Linked DNA regions of Schizosaccharomyces pombe. The main gene of each other region encodes a partner of the protein of the gene in region 3 in a complex. Each region holds a gene or a part of one and is shown on either strand. Other genes may lie near its edges.

The links.
Region 1: pdp3 (region 3) and mst2 share a complex: the UniProt entries of both Schizosaccharomyces pombe proteins name them as parts of the mst2 complex.
Region 2: pdp3 (region 3) and ptf1 share a complex: the UniProt entries of both Schizosaccharomyces pombe proteins name them as parts of the mst2 complex.

What each region holds. Positions count from the first base shown.
Region 1 is NC_003424.3:2,361,987-2,368,600, reverse strand, and holds mst2 (histone acetyltransferase Mst2), read left to right. Parts: upstream 1-1,666; 5' UTR 1,667-1,767; coding exon 1,768-2,220; exon of another isoform or gene 2,221-2,336; coding exon 2,337-2,426; exon of another isoform or gene 2,427-2,473; coding exon 2,474-3,154; 3' UTR 3,155-3,206; coding exon of another isoform or gene 3,207-5,033; 3' UTR 5,034-5,102; downstream 5,103-6,614. Other genes in the region: protein kinase C (PKC)-like Pck1, read left to right, coding at 1-344, 400-601, 646-834, 876-1,059, 1,105-1,196; exocyst complex subunit Sec3, read right to left, coding at 3,207-5,033. UniProt on the Schizosaccharomyces pombe protein: Component of the mst2 complex which is a highly specific H3 lysine 14 (H3K14) acetyltransferase that functions together with gcn5 to regulate global levels of H3K14 acetylation (H3K14ac), critical for DNA damage checkpoint activation.
Region 2 is NC_003424.3:2,603,730-2,608,280, reverse strand, and holds ptf1 (phosphoric monoester hydrolase), read right to left. Parts: upstream 2,130-4,551; 5' UTR 2,097-2,129; coding exon 2,054-2,096; exon of another isoform or gene 2,003-2,053; coding exon 1,964-2,002; intron 1,908-1,963; exon of another isoform or gene 1,741-1,907; coding exon 1,668-1,740; exon of another isoform or gene 1,627-1,667; coding exon 1,092-1,626; 3' UTR 867-1,091; downstream 1-866. Other genes in the region: serine/threonine protein phosphatase PP2A catalytic subunit Ppa1, read right to left, coding at 1-178; protein She9, read left to right, coding at 3,069-4,022; vps11 (HOPs complex subunit Pep5/Vps11), read right to left, coding at 4,319-4,551. UniProt on the Schizosaccharomyces pombe protein: Component of the mst2 complex which is a highly specific H3 lysine 14 (H3K14) acetyltransferase that functions together with gcn5 to regulate global levels of H3K14 acetylation (H3K14ac), critical for DNA damage checkpoint activation.
Region 3 is NC_003424.3:4,334,875-4,339,689, forward strand, and holds pdp3 (PWWP domain-containing protein), read left to right. Parts: upstream 1-2,206; 5' UTR 2,207-2,373; coding exon 2,374-3,597; downstream 3,598-4,815. Other genes in the region: prp10 (U2 snRNP-associated protein SF3B1), read right to left, coding at 1-1,681, 1,748-1,852, 1,904-1,913; DNA replication factor C complex subunit Rfc2, read left to right, coding at 3,868-3,941, 3,994-4,815. UniProt on the Schizosaccharomyces pombe protein: Component of the mst2 complex which is a highly specific H3 lysine 14 (H3K14) acetyltransferase that functions together with gcn5 to regulate global levels of H3K14 acetylation (H3K14ac), critical for DNA damage checkpoint activation.

The DNA.
Region 1 (6,614 bases), 2.0 Mb from region 3:
AGAGAGAAAAAGAATCGTGTTACGCTTGACGACTTCACATTTTTGGCTGTATTAGGGAAAGGCAATTTTGGCAAGGTTATGTTGGCTGAATATAAAGTGAATAAAAAGTTTTATGCCATCAAAGTTCTGAAAAAAGAAGCCATTTTAAAGAATGAGGAACTAGAGAGTTTAAAAACTGAAAAGCATGTTTTCGAAGTCGCGAATAAAGAAAAACATCCGTTCTTGCTGAATCTTTTTGCAAGCTTTCAAACTAGTACCAGGGTTTACTTCGTTATGGAATATATTCTTGGTGGTGACCTTATGGTTCATATTCAACGTCAACAGTTTAGCGTGAAACGTGCAAGGTAGTACTTCAATCTTTATTTTTATTTTTATTTTTATTTTTTATTAACCCCATAGATTTTATGGTGCTGAGGTTTGTTTAGCATTGAAGTATTTTCATGAGAATGGAATTGCTTACCGTGATTTGAAATTGGATAATATTCTACTTTGTCCTGATGGTCATATACGAATTGCTGATTATGGACTCTGCAAAGAAAATATGTTGCTTGGCAATACAACTTCCACCTTTTGTGGTACCCCCGAATTCATGGCTCCAGAAGTAAGGCGGAACTTGTTTTGGTTTATTTTATCTAACGAAAATAGATTTTATTAGAACAGCAATATTCCAAGGATGTTGATTGGTGGGCTTTTGGCGTTTTGATGTATCAAATGTTACTGGGTCAATCCCCTTTCAAAGGTGAAGATGAAGAGGAAATATTCGATGCGATTTTAAGCGATGAACCGTTGTTTCCGATTAATATGCCAGCGGATGCGGTTTCGTTATTGAGAGGGGTATGCAAATTTCTAAATATGTTAACTAATTCAAAAAATAGCTTTTAACAAGAGATCCAAATCAACGACTTGGTAGTGGACCAAAAGACGCAAACGAGGTTATGGCTCATCCTTTCTTTGCTAGTATTGTCTGGGATGACTTGTATAACAAACTTTATGAACCATCATATAAACCGCTTATCAACGATCCCCGAGACCTCAATAATTTTGATGAAGAATTTACAAGTATGACAATTGTTAAAATATGGTTAATTACTAACGATCGATTAGGTGCATGTCCAACTTTGACACCTGTCAATACTGTTCTCACACGACAACAACAAGAGTGTTTCAGAGGATTTTCCAGTTTTGCTACTGAATAGAATTAGCTTGTCCTTTGCTTCTGCTTTTTTAAAATTAGAAAATTATGGTAACAATTTCATATAGTTCTGATGCTGCTTCCTTTGCATTCTTACACTTAATTTAGTGTACTCACCCTTTACATGATATTTTTTTTACTTTTCTACGTGTTCATATTTAAAAAATTTCTGCATTTATCATCATTACATTACTTGAAAATAAAGTCGAAATTAGAGAATAATTAAAGTGGCATTAAAACTACTAATGTAAAACTTATCGTTGAATCACCCAAGGTGACTTTGTAGTATTTATACGCAACGTTTGTAATGGCATTCAATCAAAAAGCTAACAGTGAAGTTATGAATGGTTACTGTTTCAGAATACAAAAGTAAAAAATATGAGTAGTTTTTTATTTAACAAGAGTGAAAGGGTTATCTTTGCAGAGATCGGATGGAGGTGGAAGTAAAGCAAGAACTAAGAAGAGAATGAGGGCACTACCACCAACTCAATTATATTGACCAAAGGATTAAATGGGGCCATTAGGAAAACTATGAACGATCTGTAAATATAAACAATCTTTTTTTTTTATGTATAATGCCGGCGACTATTTTGAAATCCACAGCCAGTTCAAAGACTTTGTTAATAATAAAGTTTGATACAAACTCCTCCAGATATCCATTTTATAAGAAACATTTATTAGAGTTAAATTCGGAAAGTACTTTTTTGGGTCTATTAACTAAAGGGCAAGCTGACACATCGATTACGAGACTCAACCAAGACGATGTGAGGCTGTTTGAAAAAGCAAAGACAGTAGCAGATAGGACAAAGGATGTGGCTTATTCATTTTCCGATCCTATTTTATCTACACAGTTGCGAACGCCTCCACCACAACCAACCTCCATTCGATACCTCTATTTTGGTACTTACCGGATAAAACCATGGTATACATCACCGTATCCAGAGGAGTATAGCTGTGCAAAAAATTTATATATATGCGAATCTTGTTTAAAGTATATGAACAGTGATCATGTACTACAAAGGCACAAGGTAAACAACTTTTCAAGTAAGATCATAATGTTATTCGCTATTGCTTGAGTTTAAACGAGGTGTACATTAAAAGATCATAATCTATCCAAATTGAATTTACGGACTAACATAATCAGATGAAATGCTCATGGAGTTATCCACCAGGAGATGAAATATATCGGGATAAGAATATATCAATTTTTGAAGTTGATGGTCAACGGCAACCGGTAAGTAATTTTTTATGCATTTTATACTTATTGATGTTTTTCCTTAGATATATTGTCAAAATTTATGTCTTCTAGCAAAGATGTTTCTTCATTCAAAAATGCTGTACTATGACGTTGAACCGTTTCTTTTCTATGTATTGACTGAATTTGATGGCCAAGAATGCAAAGTTATTGGATATTTCAGTAAAGAGAAACGCTCGGCTTCTGATTATAACGTTTCCTGTATATTAACATTACCCATTTACCAACGCCGAGGATATGGTGTCTTTTTGATTGATTTTAGTTATTTACTTACACAGGTAGAAGGTAAGCTTGGATCACCTGAAAAGCCACTTTCAGATTTAGGCCTCGTTACGTACCGAAGCTATTGGAAAATGAGAGTAGCCAAAGCTCTATTGGAAATCACAACACCGATTAGCATAAATGCTATCGCCAAATCAACATCTATGGTATGCGACGATGTTATATCCACATTGGAATCGTTATCTGTATTTAAGTATGATCCGCTCAAAAAGAAATATGTATTACAACTGAAACGGGATGAACTTGAGAATGTTTATAAAGCTTGGAATATCAAACACCCTCAAAGAGTAAATCCAAAACTTCTAAGATGGACGCCATATCTCGGAGAAGAGCAGATATCTAACCTTTTACTTAAAGAAAATATACTTATTCCTCTACCTCAAAAGCGTCTATTAGATAACTCTCATCATCTGGATTCCGTTTAGTTCAAATAAATAAGTATTTTAATCTTTCGATATTTGTCGTGAAGCATTTGTATCATCTACGGCTTGGTTGTTGCTCTATATTAATGACGCCATTTAATGCAGTAGACAACTCTAGGGAAAATAAGTTGATGGTTGAATTGATAGACTCACAACCTAAAGCACAATCTTGAAGTTGGCTCTTAATGTTTTGCAATTCGATTTCTTCTTCAGCAAGGTTTTCCACACTGCTTATGATAGCTCCATCAAACGAAAATTCTGTTTGTTTCAATACATCTTTTATAGTTGTACCTTCATTCCACTTCAAAGTGGAAAGACGAGAAATGCTTTGCTCCGGAATGTTTTTGAGGTTGATTTTTGAGTTAAGATCGTAAACTTTTTCAACAGAAGCTTGGTGCGGTTTAGTCGGAATGGAAGTAACAAGAGTTTTCTTGGCTTTTGGCTTGGAAGTGGTTTTTCTATTTTCAAAGCGCAAACTTTCAAAAAGGGGAAGAAGTTCATTTCCTATAGAAGGCTCGTCGTTTGGTGGTTCGATTTGTTTACCAGTCGAAGGAGTTGCCCGAACAGTTGGCTGACGGGACGGGTGCTTTGGAGGTAATTTAGGAATAGCCGGTGCTCCTGTTGGTTTTCGAGAAACAGACTTTGCTGATACTTTAGACGAACTGGAAGGCTTGTAAGATGACGTTAATACTGAAGGAGTTTCTAAGCTAGAAGATAAAGCTGCCTGGGTAGCATCACGATCCACTTTACTAAAATCGCTAGCAAATGTGTTTGACTCCAAAGAAGAGCTTAGTTTCACGTCTTTTTGAGACATATTATACTTACCAGCTTCTAGTGCCAAAGCTGTATTTTTCTCGTAAGAACCACTGATGCTATTCTTACCCCTTTCCGAAGAACTCGTTCCACTGTTAAATGAGGGTGCTTGTTCACGACGAGTAGTTTTACGTAAAGAAGGTTTAGATGGAAACAATTGAGCTTGTTCTTGAATAAACATTTCCCGTGTTTGATTATCTCGTCTTTGAGTTGAAGTATCGAATAAGACATCATCTTTTCGGTCTCCTGAAGTCCTTGCAATGGCAGAAGAACTTGAAATTTCTATAACATCACTATGGGCAGATGATGGGGTCCCCCGGGAAACGTTGGAAGAAGGCTTATTGTCAGAAAACCGTCTTTCTTTTTCAACACTCAACTTCTTTTTGGCTGATCGAGAAGAATCAATAGTGAGCTTCTTCTCGATGCGAGGCTGATCCGTTTCTAAATTGGTAACAATTGGGCCGTCCGAAAAATTACGGTTATGTGCGACTCGAGAGTTAAAAGATGAGGAAACTTGTTCTGAAGAATTTTCAGGTAATGATGACCTTGCTTTAGGAATAGCTAGGCTCTTTGCAGGATAGAGATTAGGTTTGTTATCAGCAAAGGAATTACGATAGGCCCAGTCCACTTTGCGGCCATCAGTCGTAGTCACTGAAAGCGGCCTGCCCATATAGTACATATAATTTTTAGCAACAGAAAAAACAAATCGATCGCGAGCAGAAGTGTCCTGAGTTCGCAACAAATGTGGCTTGTTTATTGTCATAGTAACATCATGATCATTAATTACAGTAATATTCTGCAACTCAAATAAAGGCCAGGATTTCACGACTGTCATTCCGCCTTTATCATTTACTTTCAATCTGTGTATATAAAAAATACGAGTCACATCATCACAAGTCAAAGCAATGTAGCGGGGTTTCATCTTTGAGCCAACAACATTAACTCCTCTTTCTTCCTCCACCGGAAGATATGCTAATGATTGCTCATGAGCTTTCCGTTTATCGGTAGTTTGAGCCGAATTGACAGCTTGTAGAATTTCTTGTTCAACGGCATTAGGGTTAGAAGCCATTCGTCTGAAGTGGTGTATTAAATGAAAAAAATTGGGTTAAATAGATAAATATTAACAAAAAAAAAACCATTAATTAAACATTCTACCACTTTCCAATGGCAAGTAATACTGAAAGCGCCTTATTCAACGGAAAAACAAATTTTCTAAGGAAACGAGACTTTTTTTTAATTCACAGAGTCTTTATAAGCAAGGGATAAAATTTTCTTGTAAAATTGAATTCTAGCGGTAAAGAAATATATAAATTTGATAATAATTTTTACAATTGTGGTGGAATGGTGGGTTAATAAGGAGAAATGTCAAAACGTAAACAAGTGACATATGTAGGCAAATGCTATAGAAGTCGATTTTTTAAAGTTTATTTAAACTTGCAAGCATTGTCTACGTTCATAATATTTATATATATTTAAACATCTTTAAATATTTTTGCTGTGCATGAAAAGTACAATAATCCATAACTTTTTTGTTGATGACTTCGCTGTACTTTATGGCAGCTTTGTTTATTCGACGAGCTTAAAAAATCCAAATTATTGAAACAGGAAACACATTGATAGCCATAGTGTAATTCTAATTGCATAACCAGCAACGTTTAAAATGGTTAGCTATAGTTAAGTATTAGTACTACGCAGGACAATAATTATCCGCTCATTTCCACATCCTGTAGAACTTATAAAAGTGTGTTACACAATGAGCATCTTGCAACGAATACTAGATATTTATAGTAACATGCTAGGGATTCTTATTACACTGTTTGGTACAATTACAGACCCATAATCAAAGCATTGAACGAACCAAAGACTTCGCGACAGCCAAAGTTAAAACCTAGTAGATTTGAACAGTACAATTAAGACTATGTATTTTATTTCTTCGTTATCGTAAAAAATATCTTGACCTGTATCCATGGTGATAGAATTTGCACAAAAATCAGCTGTTTTGCATACTCATATATATAATGCTATTGGGACCACGCGCTTCCTCCATAAGCAAACTTCTATCATATAACTTCATAGTAGACAAATCAGGATGCCGTTAACGTTGGCTTTGCGATGAATAACTTGAAGAGTAAAATGTTTAAAAGCTAAGCATCTTTGCTAGGACCTTTTAGCAATGACTTTAAGAGGTACCTTGCTAAAATTAACAGCTTACAAAGCACAATTTACTTTTTTTTTGAGTCCAAAATATGTAAAGAAATAAATGAAATCAAATTGGGTGTATTGTTTCTTTACGTATTTGCCATACAGTTTACAAAATGTCAATGCGCTCAATCGCAAATAGGGTACATGTGACTTGGTGGCTTTTTTTGTTGGGAAGGCTAAACTTTCCGCAACCAAGCCCAAATACTTCTTCAATTTGCATAACTTGTACAGCAGCTGGATGGTATTACTGTAGCATTGTTTTTATCTCTATAAAATCAGAATTTTCTTCTTTTTTTAATTACTCTCTCAGAAGTGTTGGCTTCAAATCAATCTCTTAAAAGTTTTAGTTTTTACCCCCCCTCCAATTGACAATTCTTGTCTAGTCCAAGTTTGTCGTCTGCTATTACTGGCATTTTCAATAATTTTTATTTATTTTTTTTATTTTTTC
Region 2 (4,551 bases), 1.7 Mb from region 3:
CATGAATATCACCACAAACCGTTACAGGGCATCGGACGCTTTGAACGTTTGATTCTACAGAAAGTACCTCTTTTGCGAGATCACACATTTGAATGACATCTTCCTCTGAAAGAGGTTCGCATCGACTCAACTGTTCAATCCAACGATCGACCTCTCCAATTTTTCCAGAGACAGACATCTTGTTGAAAAAAACTTAAAGCAATAGTTAATAAACGACTAAATTTTTAATTAAAAAGAAAAGCATCCACAGAAAAATCCATAAGGGCTTTTCCGTTTGTATGCTATCCTGCGTTGAGCATGCGTTTTTCAACTTCCCACTTACGAATTCACTGGATGACGGGGGTATTGTAAGCTTATTCACTTTCTTGACAAAATAATGGTGTCTGAGGTACGTTTACTGTACATATACTGTATTTTATTATTTATTCGTTCGTATGTGGGAAAGAGAAATATTATGTTTTACAGACACGGTGGGGAGTTAGGTGAAGAAAGAAAATGATGCGAGTACGGGAAAATTTGTATGAAGGTTGAAAGGTATGGTAGTAGACAGGATACATAAAGTCACAATATTTCATGTTTTAAATTTTATTTCAATTTATTAATAACCAAAATATTACAGACATGGATTTCGTAATAGCAATTTTTTCTGCAAGCCCCTTAAAACATCATTACAAGTTTCCTGACTTTGAGTAACTTTACCAAACCAAAATATAACAATATGCGTGATCTACATTATGTTATACTCGCTACCTTATTTCGGCGATCTCACGACCAAAAGACGCAAAATTTAATATCTCTTTATTTTCTTTCTTAAAAAAAATAAAGAGATATTGTAGCAATGCGACCACTTACGGACTGATATGATATAGGATTTTTCATACAAGACTCGCAAATGGATGAGTATATAAATACAAATTATGTTAAATCATTGCTTCTAACAACCCAAACTAATCGAACCGTTGGTGAATGATGCATTTAAATTGCTATGAGGACCTGCTTGAAACTAAGTTTCGAGGCGCTGATAACAAATATCTATCAACTTTAGGTATAAAAATGTTGAAGTACGAAAACTTCTTAGGTATTATTCAGATTTAACTGCTAAAGAATAATTTTTGCAAATCTTTATGGATATCAGCAAAGGTTTCGAATTCAGAGAAAGAAATTTTCTCCCTTTCACAATATTTAATTAAATCACGTCCTTTCTTGGCAAACAAGTGTTCTGTTTCCTTCGCAGCACTCAAATCGGAAACACCATCTCCGCAATAGACCATGTGAGGACGTTTACTTTCTGGCAATTGAGCATACGGACGGATAGTAAGGCTTTTGTCGTGTCCAAAATGACTGTCATCATGATACACAATGTTCCATTGACCATCAGGATGCACATTGATGTCATTAGAAACAATTTCAATACTACTTGCTTCTTCTTTGCCAAGGTATTGCTCAAAAAGTGCACGAATAAAAGGCTCCATACCACTTGAAAGGATGATTACACGAATGTCTTGAGACTTACACCATTCATAGAATGGTTTAAATGATGGATCAATGGCGACATTCTTCTTGAGAACCTCCAAAGCTTCATCATAGCTTAAATGCACTGAATCCAACATCTTCGCGAAAGCATCACTATGAATTGTTAAGAGTTGATTTACGCGTCAAACGCTTACCGAAAAGAAATGGAACCGTCAAGAACTTGTTGATTTAGATTCACACGGTTGGCGTTGCCCATTCCAAAGTTGTCTAAAACATAGTTAGTAAACCGTCGCCGTCGAGTGTTGCAGTAATAAAGCATTCAAGGTGGGCAGGGAAATTTTTGACCCAATGTTATAAAATCATAGATTTCTCTTACAGATTTTCGTAAATCTTCAATAAATATTCAGTTAAGCTTAATTGTAAGAACATTTTCTAACTACCTTTATACATCTTTTTATATCTGTAACAATCTTCCTATTCCCAACCTTACCAGTTAAGTAGTCATTGGAATCCTGGAGTGTAATAGTTCCTAGACCCCAAAAGTTAGTTGTCTGTTTTTATTGAAATTATTTTTTCATACCGTCAAAGTCACTGAATACGTATAACTGCTTTTTCTGAGCCATAGTCCAAATCTTTTTGAATTGCTGAAATTGCTTGCTTTGTACAGCTATCCAACTCTAGGATTTAAAGTAACGAAACTTACCAGCACTGATATAAAGTTTGTTGTTTATTCCGTGATTAGCAAGCAGTCGTTTGTTCGAGTCATGATAAATGTCATATTTTATCTTTTATATGCAAAAAAATGAAATTCTTAAAGTAATTTACAGTCTTCTTTATTTTAAAGGGCTGCAGATTAAAAATCGAAATTAGTGTAGAGGTTGAATTAACTTAAAGCATATATTTATCAAAGAAAAGAAATGATATTCTATATTTCTGCAAGGGGTAAACGATATCCTCAGTACGTTTTACCATAAATCCTAAGAAAAGTGGCCCAAGCCTTGTAAAGTGAAGTGTAATTTTTTTTTTTTTTGTTTTTTCTTTTTAAATTTCAAATGCTTTTTACATCTACAACATTCTCTCAAGCGTGAGTTTCGCTTATCCTAATGTTAGCTACGCAGTTTCGTATTCGTTTTAATGATACGTAGAACTGCGGTGAGTTTTCCTTGTGACCTATAATATCGCAATACACAGATAATATAAGTAGCAACTGAGTGTAGGTATTGTATTAACAAGGTTATAATGTTACCTATCACTGGTATAGCTTGTAACTGAACTGAGGAACGAGGTTTAGCAGTAGCTCTATTTATAGTATTCAGATGATATAAATATTAATAGATTATCATTAAGATCAGTCTCAATATCGTATCATACATAGTACGATATTTAATTAGGACATGTGACATATAGTGATACGCAACGTAAGTATTATAGCGTATTATAGTATTGCTGATACCTAACTATAAATAGCATATTCTAAGCTGTTTATGAATATTTCCGTAAACCAGCTTTATGGCTGGTGCAGCAGTACATTATGTTTAACTCACTATATGAAGACATGAAAGGATATAACAGTAATGTATAAGTATTAAGAAAGTATGTTGCAACGACTTTCTCAGTCTATTAAGGGATTTGCTGCTCGCTTTCCCAAAATCTATAATAAAGGAAATGGATCAGTTCAACAGACTATACTCCAAGCGAGTCAACGCTTGAATGAATTAACTGGTTATTCCTCCATTGAGGCATTAAAGAACGCGGTTGTAAAGCAGGAGACAAAGCTCCGTGATTTTAGATTATCTGCAGCTGAAGCAAGAAAGCGTTATATTGAAGCGGTTGAAAAAAGATCGTCAAGTCAACGTGAAGTCAACGAATTGTTACAACGACGTAGTAGCTGGTCTACTATTGATTTAGAAAGATTTACTAAACTATACCGTGATGATTATTCAAACAAAGAAGAAGAAATTAAGGCTCAAGAAGATGTGGATGTAGCGGAAAGGCGGGTAGAGGAAGCTCAAAATGGATTGGTGCGTTCGATTTTATCGAGATACCACGAAGAACAAGTTTGGAGTGATAAAATCCGGCAAGCAAGTACCTGGGGTACATGGGGATTAATGGGAATTAACGTTGTTCTTTTTGTGGTCGTTCAACTAATATTGGAACCAAGGAAAAGGAAACGGTTGGTTCGTGAAGCTGTGGATCACATTGACAAGGAACGAGAACTTGAAATAAATGATGAACTGAAAAAGATTTCCGAGAAACTTGATAAAAAAGGTGAAGCTGTCGGCCAAGCATTAGAGCTTACTTCTCCGAAAATTGACAATAAAAACCTTCCCAAAAATTCTGCGTCCTTAATTCTTCCTCCTATTAATTACGATACGTTTCACTCTTTTTTGGATTCGCTAAAATATTTCCTATCTCGCTTTTTGTCTACAGACTACCGCATTCAATTGACTTATCGTCAACTGTCTATTCTGGCGACCAAATTTACGGTAGGCGGTGGAGTTATTATTTACACCTTTATTCACTTGTTTGGTTTAGCATTCAAGCGTTGAATTATTTACATTAACAATCGTTAATTACAAGATTTTATGGTAAAGGTTTTATAGATTACAAGTTTTAAAAAGAGCAGATATTTGCGTTATGAGCAAAGCAGATGTATATCTTCATTTATTCAAACTAAGAAACCTTATCAGAGAATCCAAGTGTAACTACCTAATTCCATTTTGCCAAAAAAAATATTAATGAAATATTCTTAATCATAATTTTGACTTGAGTAACTTATTTCGTACAATAAATAATGCATTACTTCCATTCTTTCTTTGTATTTAATTTTCATATTTTTGACTCATTATAACCATCGACAACGAATACATTCATCTTCAACACACCGCTGATGATACGAATGTCCACAGCGAAAATGTACCATAGGTAACTCTAAATCGATTCCACAGGTAGAGCATTTAGACTCTTGCACGACAAATGCTCTTGTACGAAGAATTGAAAGTTGACTAGTAATTTCTTCAATATCCCGCTTACCCATTTCAATAGCCTCATTTTGTTTCGAGATTGATTCACGATAAT
Region 3 (4,815 bases):
CTTTGGACTCCTGACCATAATGGCTTTAAAACGCTGTCAAAAGCTTCAATACCGTAAGGAGTAGCAGCTTCAGCTAAAGCCGATAAGGACAAAGCTGTCATAATTCGTACTTTTTGTTGTTCATCTTCAAGGCCGTGACCAATACAATCAACTAAATTTTTTAAGTGTGGTAAAATAGAGCATCCTAATAACAGAGCAATCTGTTGAATAATCCGAACGCCAGTATGCCTGGCTTGCCATGATTTCTTACTTCTACAAACAGCTTTTAAAAAAGGTAAAAGAGCCGGCACGCCTAGTGCAGAGGCAACAACCGAAAAGGCACGGGCTGTGGTGTTTCGGACATATTCGTCGACATGATCAATGTCAGGTCTCATTGTAGCAATCATATGAGCCAAGCCGGAAGCTTTAGCTAAGTTACTAATGATTTCCCGACCTTCAGCACGTGCATAGTAATCTTCATCAATAAGAAGGGGTTCAATAACTACGAGAATTTTATGAGTAAAAGGGCGAACCAGATCATCCAATTTGTATAATATACGATCAATAACCTTAACTAAAAGATGGCGCTCCTGATCTTCCAGTGTTCGTTCCATTAACAACGGAAGAATCTGATTAAATAAAGCAGCTGCACCAAAGTCGCGAGCTTGATCCGTAAGCTGGCGTAATGCACTCTTACGCATGGGAGGAGTACCATTTTTTACTTTCAGAAGTAATCTCAAAATTTTACGTTCACGAAGTTCCGCAATTGTAAGCTTGGCCTCGTCCTCCACCTTGAGTAACTTGCCAAAATATTTAACATCTTCTTGCTTAAAAAAAGCTAAATCACCTACACCGGGTATTTCTGTAGGCAATGCAGCTGGTAATTCTTTTTCTAAAGGAAGCTCTTGCTCTTGTGGAACGTGATATGTATCGAGCGTAGTACCTTTTTGAAGTAGTTCAGGATGAATTGATTCTAAATATCCAGGAGGAGGCTCCAAAATAGCATAGCCTTCTGACGGCAAAAGCTCATTTAACTCTTCTTCAGTTAATAAACGGACAGGAGGTCGTAATTTTTCTTCTACTACATTTACTTCCTTATTAATAAGATCTTCAGAAATTCCGTTTTCTATAACATGTTCAGATATAGTGAAGTTTTCAGGAGCTTTGTCCCAACGTGATCTACGCTTAGTAGTGGAAACCTGCGTAACGCTAGGTGGAGCCTGATCCCAACGAGAGCGTTTAGGCTTCTGAGATATTTCCGTATTATTAAGCTCTAGTTCTCTTTTTTTGTCCGATATGCTTTCCTCCTCCTCCACCTCTTTTAGTGTTCCTTCACGACGTCTTTGATTTAATTCCATATGAACTCGTCGCTCTTCCTTTTCTAATTCAACCTGCCGCATAACCTCCGCATAAGATCTTCCATTGCTCTGTGTCCCATCAGGTTGAAAAGCATCTACGCGGGTTGGAGTAAGCTGTCTATCATAACGCTGCTTTTGATAATCTGACTCGCGATCCTGAATTTGCTTTTTTGACTGTCTCTCTTGCATAGGGTCATAACTTTCATCAGCGTATTCATTTAGTAGTTCCTTAGGTGCTTCATATTGACGCACTAAACGATAACTATCATTAACATCGTTTGTACGTTTATAATCGTCTTCATCCTGAGAGATATCATTGCGCACGTCAATTGCGGAGTCATATTCTTCTTTTGGGTTACTGGACTTAAAAAGATGAGCATTATATTGTAAATCATTAGAATCCTGGGTACCTTCAATATTTACACTTCCATTTGTCGACGAATTCTTCGCTGCCTCTTTTTGTCTTCGCAAAAGTTCTCTTTCAGCACGAAGCCTTTCTATTTCCACATCTTCTACTTTATTTAGGTTAGTAACATCCATTTTGAACATTTTATAAGGATACGTACCAGTTGACATGTTGATGGCGAAGAAATGCTTTCATGTTGCGCGTCTTATACTCATTTAAATATACTCAAAGCATTCTAAGCTTCGTTATCAATATTTTAAAGTACAATACAGTAACTCGTTTTGTAGAATAACGATAAGATTAACGTGTCTTATTTAGTTTAACCCTCTTTATTAAGATTTATTTGCGAAAGAAATATATACTATCGAAAAAATTAGTATGAGGAATGATATTGAAATATCGAGGTATCATATTGCAACAGCTCAAGCTTTTAGCACCCCCCCCCTCTGCTATTGTAGATCTTGTAAGCGTTGCTGCAATTAATTGATAATAGACAAGCGTCTTACGGTTTCTACTTGTATATCCTAATATTTGGTGGAACCTTTACAAATTGATGTAAAATCTCTTTGGAAAAATTCAGCACTATATCGCTTTAATGTGAAGTTTGGCTTATAAGGAATGTAATTAACGATGATGGTTGCTAGGACACGCAGTCAAAAAAGAAAGCTTGAAGAGATTAATAACCAGAAGAAGATTAAAACAAAAAAAAAGGCCACCGGGCAACAGACTTCTAATACGAAAAATCTGCGTGATGTTAAAAAGAAAGGTAAACAATTAGCGTATGTTCCGAGGACGTCACCAAGGAAATCATATAAAAATGGGGAATATGTTTTAGCAAAGATGAGTAGCTTCCCATGGTGGCCAGCCAGAGTAGCGAGCCAAAAATCAATACCCACTGAGGTACGCGAACGATTGAAACGAAATTTTCGAATGGACAATGGAATATTTGTTCAGTTTCTTCCTTCAAGAGATTACGCTATTATTTCTTCTTCAAATGTTTTGCCCTTAACTGTTGATGAATCAAGGTTTATTTTGGACCATGATTTATCGACAAAGTATATCCAAAAGACGGTAGGTCTCATCATTGCTTCCGTAAAGAGAAAAGTTTCTTTTTCTGATGTCGAAGAGGATGAGTTTGAACCAGAGAATACTCGTAAAAAACTTCAAAAGCCCATCGAGAAACCAAAAAAGGAAAAGATAGAAGCCACACCTAAAATTGACGGGGGTAAAAGGTTAAAAAATGAGAAATCGTCGGCAGAAATTTCTCAAACATCGAAGCAACGACCTTCACGTAGGTCAGCTCGAGTTAGGATGGCTACAGACAACGCTCAGAAATCCCCATCTCCAATTCCTTCTCCCAAGAAAACAGCCAAAAAAAGAGTAAGGTTTGCCGGTTCTTTAGAGGAATTACCAAAATTTTCACTTGAATATCAATTGGCTCAGCCTATAAGTACTGTAGATATGTATGCTCAAGTTCATTATATTCGATTTAATACTCTTTTATATTACCGCTACCAACTACAAGAAATCCTACTGTCATATAATCATTATCCTCAAGAATCGGATATGTCTCATGTGCACCAAATATTGGAGATGATTGAGAATTTCAGCGCAATAAATTCTGAACTATTAGAATCAACCAAGTTGTATTCACTTTTTACTTTGCTTGTTAAATTAAGCGACATACCGTTGGATGAAAAATATGACTTTTCTTCACGATTTTCGACTCTTCTCCTTCAATTCCAAGCATTCGTTCAGCCCAAAACCATGACAAGTAATGTATCTACAGCGCCCATTGGAAAGAATGCTCAAGTGAACACAGAAGCTGCCAGACCATCTGTCATCACTACCTAACTTTTGATCATACATTCATATGCTTTTGTTATCGAATTACATAACTAATCTTGTTTACATTTAATGTTACGATAATATTTGCTTCCAACATTTTCATTAATATAGAACGCATTATTAGCGCGACTCAATGTGTTTATGGTACAAATCGTTACAATACGTTATCCTAGTATGTAAGCAAGAACAAGCATTGCTTACTACCATTTCGTAGTAGGTACCGTCAGTGTTTTTTTTTTTTACTTGCGATATCTCGTGTATACTAATTTAAAAAAAATGTCTTTCTTTGCTCCAAGGAATAAGAAAACGGAGCAGGAAGCAAAGAAATCAATACCTTGGGTTGAGCTTTAGTATGTAAATAGAGAATACTTTTTAAGAACAATAACATTAACACGTATGTAGTCGTCCCAAGACATTGGACCAAGTTTCCTCTCAAGAATCTACTGTACAAGTATTAAAAAAAACACTTTTATCTAATAACTTACCTCACATGTTGTTTTATGGCTCTCCTGGTACTGGAAAGACGTCAACCATTCTAGCTTTGTCTCGTGAGCTATTTGGACCGCAATTGATGAAATCAAGGGTTTTGGAATTGAATGCTTCTGATGAACGCGGTATCTCTATTATTCGGGAGAAAGTCAAGTCTTTTGCAAAAACAACCGTAACCAACAAAGTCGACGGTTATCCTTGTCCTCCTTTTAAAATTATAATTTTGGATGAGGCAGATTCTATGACTCAGGATGCTCAGGCTGCTCTTCGACGAACTATGGAGTCGTATGCCAGGATCACTAGGTTTTGCCTGATCTGTAACTACATGACCAGGATTATTGATCCTCTTAGCAGTCGCTGTAGCAAGTATCGATTTAAACCGTTAGACAACGAAAACATGGTTAAAAGATTAGAATTTATAGCTGCTGACCAAGCTGTTAGCATGGAGCCTGGAGTTGTCAATGCATTGGTAGAATGCTCTGGCGGTGATATGCGAAAGGCCATTACTTTTCTTCAGAGTGCTGCAAATCTTCATCAGGGTACGCCAATCACTATTTCCAGTGTAGAGGAATTAGCGGGAGCTGTACCATATAACATTATACGCTCTTTATTAGACACAGCATATACCAAAAATGTATCTAACATTGAAACTTTATCTCGTGATGTTGCTGCGGAAGGATATTCGACAGGAATAATATTATCCCAATTACACGATGTGCTATTAAAAGAAGAGAC